2 linked regions of the Tribolium castaneum genome follow. The protein of the gene in region 2 interacts with the protein of the main gene of each other region in a pairwise test. Links are inferred from orthologs where the notes say so. Each region holds a gene or a part of one and is shown on either strand. Other genes may lie near its edges.

Region 1 (4,451 bases), on a different chromosome or scaffold from region 2:
TTTCTGTGATCATTTTCTCTCAACTGATAAACTAAGTCCGCAAGAATTGAAATTAACACGAATGCTGACTAAAGCGACGTACGACGCTGTCGTGAAAGACAAACTTGTTGTCATACCGGTTATTAGTTTTCTGTTAAAGGTAATGTCAAGACTCATGTATTTATTAAATAATGATTTTATGTTCAGGTCGTTCGTGATATGAGATTGTTACCAAACGCCTTGAACTTTTGGCAAGTCAAGTTGCTGTTTGCACAAATAATATCAACTCCCTTAGCTTGTAATTTAATTCAACCGGAAGTAATGTTGGCCATAAAGCAACAAATGTTAGAAGTTTTAGAAGATTGGGAACCTGGCTTGGCCCCCGCCTTAGAAGCGTATACAAGGGGCGCCGACTTGGCTTTTGATAAAGAAACCTTGAATAGGCTAGCCATGTATGTGATATTTTACGATATACCATTTAGGGAAAGTGCAGAAGGTGATCCATTAGAAGTGATGCTTAAACTTCAAGACAAATATTCCGTTAGTACCTTAGAGAAAATTATGAGGCTAAGGATGTGAAAGAAGCTGTATTTTTTATAAATAAATGTGAAATAAAACTAATTTCAAGGTTTAACATAATTTTTATTTCGAAAACTGGGAACATATCGTAATACAGACTATAAAAATACAAAACGTGTCACTAACACAATAAGGAATGAACTAAACGCATCGGTTGAAACTTAGAAGGAAAAGGGTGATTGTTGTTGATCGGCCATATTAGGAGTAGCGAACTGAATCTCCCCATTTGCTACAGTAACAGTGACTCCCTCCTCACCCTGAAACCTCAAATTACAAAACAATTTACCCACAAAATAACTCACATCGGCGAAATAATTCTCGATAATGTGCAAAGCCCGTTCGTAGACTTTCTCATTGTCGTGACTTTGCAAGGCCTCAATACCGTCCAAACCGCCACACTCCTCAATCATTATGGCCACTTTCTCGGCTTGATTTAACTTGGCAGCGGCCTAAAATCGACAATTAGACAAAATTCCAACACAAATTTTTTTTCACCGATAAAATGTTATTCAATCCCTCCAACACCACGATAATAGTCTTGCTATCTTTGGAATTCAGGAGATTACACATGGGTTTCAACGCCCCCATTTCCACAAGTTGCGCCAATTGGGCGGAATTCCCGCCACTTGTGAAATTAGTAACAGCCCAAGCTGCCTCTTTTTGCGATTTAAAGTCGCCCTAAAAGTCACGTTTTAGGAAAAATCGGACAAAGCGTGGCAACAATACGGTTTGTAGGACGTGAAGAAGATAAGGCAAAATCCCGGCATCTAGGACTTTTTGGATTTGCTCACTATTTCCGGCAGTAATGTTTGAAACTGTCCAGGCAGCTTCTTTGACAATGTTCAGTCTACTGTGTTGCAATAAACGGATCATACAATCTAAAGCCCCGGCATTGATCACCATATCAGTCTACCAAACGAAATTATTAATACTTTTAACAATTGATTGAGTGGCCTTATACCTGATGGTCGTTTCCGGTCACAATGTTACCAACGGCCCTCAAGGCCGGAGTTAGGACGGTACTTTCCTCACTATACAAAAGCATAACTAGGCGGTCAATTAAACCGGTGTCAAGCACCGCTTGAATTTTCTCATTGCTACCATCGGTTAAATAACTCAAAGCCCAGCACGTGTCGGCCAAAACATCCTTATCGTCATGCGACAAAAGTCTCGCCAAGACGGGTAAAGCCGGCTTGACTAACTCAAAATCGGGGTACGGATTTTTATTGCGGCAAAGATTAGAAATAACCCACACAGTATTGCGTAACAAGGACAAGGTAGTGTTTGGTTTGATTAAGTTGATAAGACTGGGCAAAACGCCGTAGTTGAGCACCAAATCGCGGCTCTCGGGCCCATCACCTGCAATGTTACCAATCGCCCAGATGGCCTGCTCCACGACGTCGATGCGGTTTGAGGAGAGCAGCTGTTGGAGCTTAGGAAGGGCGCCCTCCTGGACCACGGCTGCGGTCTGCTCGGAAGTGCCAGACGCGATGTTCGTGAGGGCCCAGCAAGCCTCAAACACCAGCGATGGGCTGTTTAAAAAAATTAATAAGATGCAAGGCTAGGCTCTCGCTTACTTGTGGGTCTTGCCCAGGAACTCGACGCATCGCGGGACAACCCCCAAGCGGATCATGTGGTCGATTGGGGGGTTCCGCTCGCGGCTGAGCATTTTGCGGCAGGCTTGGGTGGCCTTAAACTGGAGGTTCTCGTCAGGGCTCATCATTCCTGTTATCAGGTCATTAAAATGGGGCAAGTCGGGAGTGGGGTTATTACCCATCAAGATTTCTTCGGCAGACATGGTGATCAGCGACACGGAGTTGTTCTCCTGAAGGGGAGTTGAGGCCTCTTCTTGCAACGATATGTTGCGCCTCTTCAACAACTGGTCTTCCTTTTTTGCTTTCCGCAGTTCGATGGTCTGGCCGGCCCGTCGGCGGCGCATTTCCTACACGAGAAGTCTCAAAATCGCAAAATTGCACATGATTGATACTCACTTCACAGTCTTTTCCCTTGTTTTTAAACGAACGGATCCTGTTCTCGTCTCCCATTTTTCTGGAAGTTAGAAACGTGCAACAGGGTCACTGATAGGTGAAGAACAAAAAATTGATTTGATATTTCAAGGGCCTTTTTTAGGTTAATTCATCTGATTCGGGCATTGATTATCTACTCACCTATTATATTTAAACTAGGCACCAAAACTATTAAAACTATTAGTGAATAGTCTCCACAACCGATTAAAAAATAAAACGACAAAAATTCTACGGTCAAAATTTCCGTTGCAGTTCCTGAACGTCACACTGACAATTAATGACGGGCAGCCAATAACGAGCAAGCTTCACTTGGCCAATAGAAAAGCAGTCCCACCAAATTGGCCAATAGAATTATCAAATTTGGAGAATTATTTGAATATGAGTGGATGGTGCTTCGCGCCGATTTATAGCCAATCCAATTTCGGAAAATTTAAAATGCGAAGGTAAGATTGGGCCCAACTCACGAACAAAGAATTACCATTCTGTGAATTAAATGCCTTAATTTTTCGACATTTCACTTAAAGAGGATTAAAAAATAAATAAATAATACGAGTGCAAAAACACAAGTTTAAAGCTCGACGACTGACGTTATGCAACGAACGTATGCGAGTTGCATGCTTAGACCCTCGAGAATTGCTGATGACGCTGCCGGGATTGTAATGGATTGCCGGGAGTTAAAATACAGTTTTTTTTCCCGATCCCGAATTTTAAAAAGCGAGCGTAAACCAATGCGCATGCATGAGCAGCCGTGCCATTTGGTTCTATTTCTTGCCCATGTTGGTGGCGCTGAACCCACCAAATTAGTCACCAAAAGTTCACATGTCCATTGTTGTGCAAACTTTTTCGATTATTAATATTTCGCTTATAAAAAAATAAATCGGTCTCAAAAATGGCTCTTCACGTCCCTAAAGCCCCGGGCTTCGCCCAGATGTTGAAAGAAGGCGCCCGGGTAAGTCCTAATTTCCAAAATCGATCCCCGAAGTGACATGTGGTCGGCACAAGGGCCGGCAAATCGGCGTAAATCTCTCAAATTTCGCATTTTCTAGCACTACTCCGGCCTCGAAGAAGCCGTCATTCGAAATATTAACGCTTGCAAGGAATTTGCCCAGTCCGTGCGTTCGGCTTACGGCCCCAATGGCATGAACAAGATGGTGATAAACCACCTTGAGAAGCAGTTTGTGACCAGTGATGCCGCCACTATTATTAGAGAACTGGATATTGAACATCCCGCGGCCAAATTAATGATTCTCGCGAGTCAAATGCAAGATTCCGAGGTTGGTGATGGCACAAACTTTGTCATTATCCTGGCTGGGGCCCTTCTGGAGGCCTCGGAAGAGCTGATCAGACTGGGGGTCACGCCGACCGAAGTGGCCGAGGGCTATGAGAAAGCCCTGGAAAAGTGTCTCGAAATCCTCCCGAAACTAGTCTGTTACGAAATCAAGGATTACAGAAACTTGAATGAGGTCGTTAAAGGGATTAGAACCTCGATTCAGTCAAAACAGTACGGACACGAGGACTTTTTGGCTAATTTAGTGGCCAAAGCGTGTGTTTCAATCCTGCCCGAGGACACCACATTCAACGTTGACAATGTGCGTGTTTGCAAGGTGCTAGGTTCGGGTTTGCAAAGCTCGCAAGTTGTCCAAGGAATGGTGTTTAAGAGACACGTCGAGGGCGAAATCACTAAAGTGCAGAACGCCAAAGTTGCTGTTTTCAGCTGTGCAGTCGATATCATGCAAACTGAGACCAAGGGAACCGTTTTGATCAAAACCGCAGATGAGTTGATGAATTTTAGTAGGGGAGAGGAGAATCTCTTGGAAATACAGATCAAGTCAATTGCCGACACTGGGGCTAAGGTGATAGTGGCCG
Region 2 (3,726 bases):
AATTCGATCATTTCGGCCGACAAGGATCCAGTTAAGAATAAATCGATTCTGGAACTCATCACCGATCTCACGGCTTTGATGTTGCAAGTAAAAAGTTTGGCCGATTCGGATCAAAACGCATACGAATTGCAAGTGCTCCAAGGCACGATGGAACAAATCAAGAGGAAGTTGACGCCAAGTAATCAACTAGTGTTCCAGAACTCCGTCGAAATTCACATGAAACACATTCAAGTCGGTCTCGGGCAAAATTTAGATAAAAAACTCGCCATAAATGGAATTTCCAAACTATGATACTTTTTTTCTTTAAAAATGCAGGTTTTTAAAGCAGAATGCTGTGCAATACTATAATGGCCACAATTTCGATTTACACGTCTCGTTTTATCTTACTGTTTACCGCGGGTTTTATTTATAATTACTGTATTTTTGTGGGTATTTCACAGAATGTGTATATTTTACTTGTGTAATTAATAAAAATGTATATATGAGGCACCATATGTAATTTTAGAACTGTTCAAATTTTTATCAAAATTGGTTTGAAAAAAAAAACGTCTACTTAGAAAAATATTTTATTGAGCTAATCACCCCTAGCCTATTTTTTGTGTTTCTGCAAAGTTTTCAACAACTCATCGGCATCTTCCGGACTTTTCACCCGCAATAAAATCGGCACGGGTGGAGGTTGCGTGTCTGGATTTGGAATACAAACTAACATAACATCCTTTTTCCCCATCCTTTGCATTGGGATACTTTCCGACAAAATGAAATTACAAATTAATTTTCCTAAATTCGTATCAGCGCGCACGATGAGTTGGACTTTCTCGCCGTTTGGGACTGGCTTGAGGTACAGAGTGCCCACGCCATGGTCTCCAAAAGTGCCATCCTTCTTCACAAAAACCTTGCATCTGATTGAATAAATGTGTCCCTCTTCTACCACTGGCGTAAACTCAACTTTGGGCGGCTCGTCTTCGTCTTCTTGCTCTTGGGGCTTTGGCTCATCTGCTAGTTTTATGACAGTGCTTGTGAATGAAAATTTGCCGCTGTCAGAGCCTGAATTACCAAACGAAAACGGTTGCGATTTAAAGGAGCTGTCGCCTCCTGATAGGGTAGCTGTGCTAGTGCTTGAAGTGAAACTAACTGTTGTGGTACTGGAGCCAAATGAAAATCCTGTGGATGCGGTAGAAGTGGCCCCAAATGAAAATTTAGGAGTTGTGGTTGTAGAGGTTGTACCAAAGGAAAATTGGGGCGCAGTTGTGGCACTAGTTGATGTTTCTGACGCTGCCTCGCCTTTCGCCTTTTCAAGTTCGTTGATATATTTATCGTAATCTTTGAAAATTGGTTGTAAGTTGATAAACGGGTTTGATGACACGTGTTTTTTTATCCATTCAGTGACACTTTCATTTAATCCTTTTAATTTGGCATAATATTCGTCTAATTTCTTGTCGGAAGTCTCTGCTTCTTTTTCCGTAGTTCCGTTGGTTTTACTAGTCTCGGTTTTATTTAAGTTTGACAAAAATCCAAACGTGTTGGATGCACTACTTGGCGTTTTACCAAACCCAGAAAAACCACCGAATGCGCTGGGTTTGCTATCGTCACTCTAAAAATTAAAATTGTTCGTAATCAAACAACACACATTAGAAACCGTACTGACTTGGACTGATGATATGGGGTTCCTCCTGCGGGCAACTTTTATAACTCTGTTCTTCAAAGCTTCATCTGAAGCTTTTGTAAACGTTCCAGCCGTCTCTGGTTCGTCCTCCCTATCCCAATTATCGTGATTTAAATCACTTGTTGCCGTTCTTTTAGCCATAAATGGAGAAACGAATTTGCGAGGTTAAGATACCGACACACTTCCAAACAATTTCACAAAACATAGACTATCACAGAATTGGCTTATTTAATGATTTGCATGTCGTGAGACGGAAAAATTCGTTTTAAGCACTTTTTTGGGTAAAATAATTTACAAAAATTGACAACCACTATGCGTGCCGGCTCGTATCAGGCAAACGCTGATTGGCGGGAATTTAATCACGTGACTACGAACTTAAAATTTGGCGGTATTTTTCCGGTGGAATTTTTTGCCAGTCGTAGCGGATACGAATCTCATTTTTTGACTTCTTTCCGGTGTTTGTTTTTAGACTGGTGTAATTGAAACGAAGCGAGACGAAAATTCCATAAAGTTTATTTAACCCTTTCACCAGAATTACAAGAATTTGTAATTTACATTTTGTGTATAAATAAAAAAAAAATATATCTATATTTTTGAATGAACTGAAGGAATGTAACATGTCGCCCTACTATCTACACTACGATAATTGCCTACGAAAATAAAATCCTTACTTCGTAAAAAAATTTAAATGAACTTAAACGTCCGAGTGCAATTTTGTTTAAGGCACTGCAAAATATATTGCACGAAATAAAATTACCATAAAATATAACAATAAATACTGTACAAACTATTTTGTTTCTGTCTCATGGAATCAACAATACACTAAAATGGAATGTATATATAAAATGTAAAACTTAATTCTAATTTATGTAACAATGTAATGAAGCTCCAACTATAGAGACTAAGCACTTGCTTTACAATATATTTTGGAAAATATCATGCTTGTAAATATACCTCTCTTCTTACTAATGGACGGATATGAGTTTAGAGCAAATCTTCAGGTAATTTTGCTTATAGGCAACCGGCAGGCACTTGGACAATTTCCAAAAGGGAATGAAACTAAACGGAATGCTCGTAAATGTACCCATAAAACCCTGAACTTGTTCAAAAACAAGAAATGCATCAACAATTTCTACAACAAATTATCACATACTCAATTTTTCCGTGTAAAACTGTATGAAACTTGAACTAATCTAAACTTTACAAAGTATGTCATAGTTTAAGTAAATCGAGCCTACTGATGACTTTTACTCAACAAATGCGAATTAAACTCGTAAACATTGCAGCACTGCTCTCCGCAGATATTGCATTTCCAAGGATTCGCGTCGGAGTGACACCCTTTATGCAAAAAGTACAAAGTCTGGTCTGGAAATCCGATCCCGCAGAAAATACATTGTAAACTAGACAAAGACCTTTTGCCCATCGCCCGCCACAGGGAGGAGTCCGACGGTTGTTCGGGCCCCGTCGAGGTGATAGCCCCATTGGTGGTGGTCGCCGTGTCACTGGGCGAAGTCTCAGGATTCTGGTTGGGACTCGCGGTGGAGCGCCCCCTTGGCGAGGAGTTCATCCGCGAGACGATCTTCCTCTTTAAATCGTCACGAAGTAAGCTCTTCAACGGAGACACTTTGATTAACGAGCTAAGGCTACTTGAGGTCGCTGTTTGCATTTGTACGCTTCCCGAGGGAGAGGTGCTTGGGTTAGGGCCGTTTCGTTTGGAAACGTCGTACAGCTCGTCTCCAGGTTCCTGTTTTATGGGGATGAGGGAAATTGAGGGCGTTATGTTCGTTTCTTGGTCTATTCTAAGGGAATTTGGTTGAATATGGCTGCTGGACGGAGCATTCGAATTGGAGTCGGCTGATTGAGGGGAGCCGGGACACTCGCCGTTTATCCTTTGGGACACTTCGCCGCTTTGGCCCGGCAAATTCGAACGCTGGTCGTTCTAAACAAACTGTCTAAGAAACAGGACTAAATCGCTTTGAAACTGGACTTACAAGATTCGGGGAAAAGACGGGCGCCGGAGCATCGGCCATTGAAATCTCCACGTGTGGTGTTAGAAAATGCAT

The links.
Region 1: the proteins of Nup50 (region 2) and Pen interact in a two-hybrid assay, tested with the Drosophila melanogaster proteins (2 studies listed by BioGRID). The link is inferred for Tribolium castaneum from reciprocal best matches to the Drosophila melanogaster genes Nup50 and Pen.

Annotation. Positions count from the first base shown.
Region 1 is NC_087397.1:4,706,571-4,711,021, reverse strand, and holds Pen (importin subunit alpha-5), read right to left. Parts: upstream 2,887-4,451; 5' UTR 2,727-2,886; intron 2,680-2,726; exon of another isoform or gene 2,637-2,679; 5' UTR 2,604-2,636; coding exon 2,550-2,603; intron 2,501-2,549; coding exon 2,136-2,500; intron 2,091-2,135; coding exon 1,520-2,090; intron 1,468-1,519; coding exon 1,285-1,467; intron 1,237-1,284; coding exon 1,054-1,236; intron 1,008-1,053; coding exon 861-1,007; intron 816-860; coding exon 720-815; 3' UTR 601-719; downstream 1-600. Other genes in the region: shtd (anaphase-promoting complex subunit 1), read left to right, coding at 1-139, 187-558; CCT8 (T-complex protein 1 subunit theta), read left to right, coding at 3,475-3,534, 3,632-4,451. UniProt on the Drosophila melanogaster protein: Binds specifically and directly to substrates containing either a simple or bipartite NLS motif. Promotes docking of import substrates to the nuclear envelope. Seems to act as a cytosolic receptor for both simple and bipartite NLS motifs.
Region 2 is NC_087402.1:5,415,341-5,419,066, forward strand, and holds Nup50 (nuclear pore complex protein Nup50), read right to left. Parts: upstream 2,019-3,726; 5' UTR 1,805-2,018; coding exon 1,646-1,804; intron 1,592-1,645; coding exon 590-1,591; 3' UTR 551-589; downstream 1-550. Other genes in the region: mip130 (protein lin-9 homolog), read left to right, coding at 1-291; zinc finger protein ztf-16, read right to left, coding at 2,898-3,602, 3,655-3,726.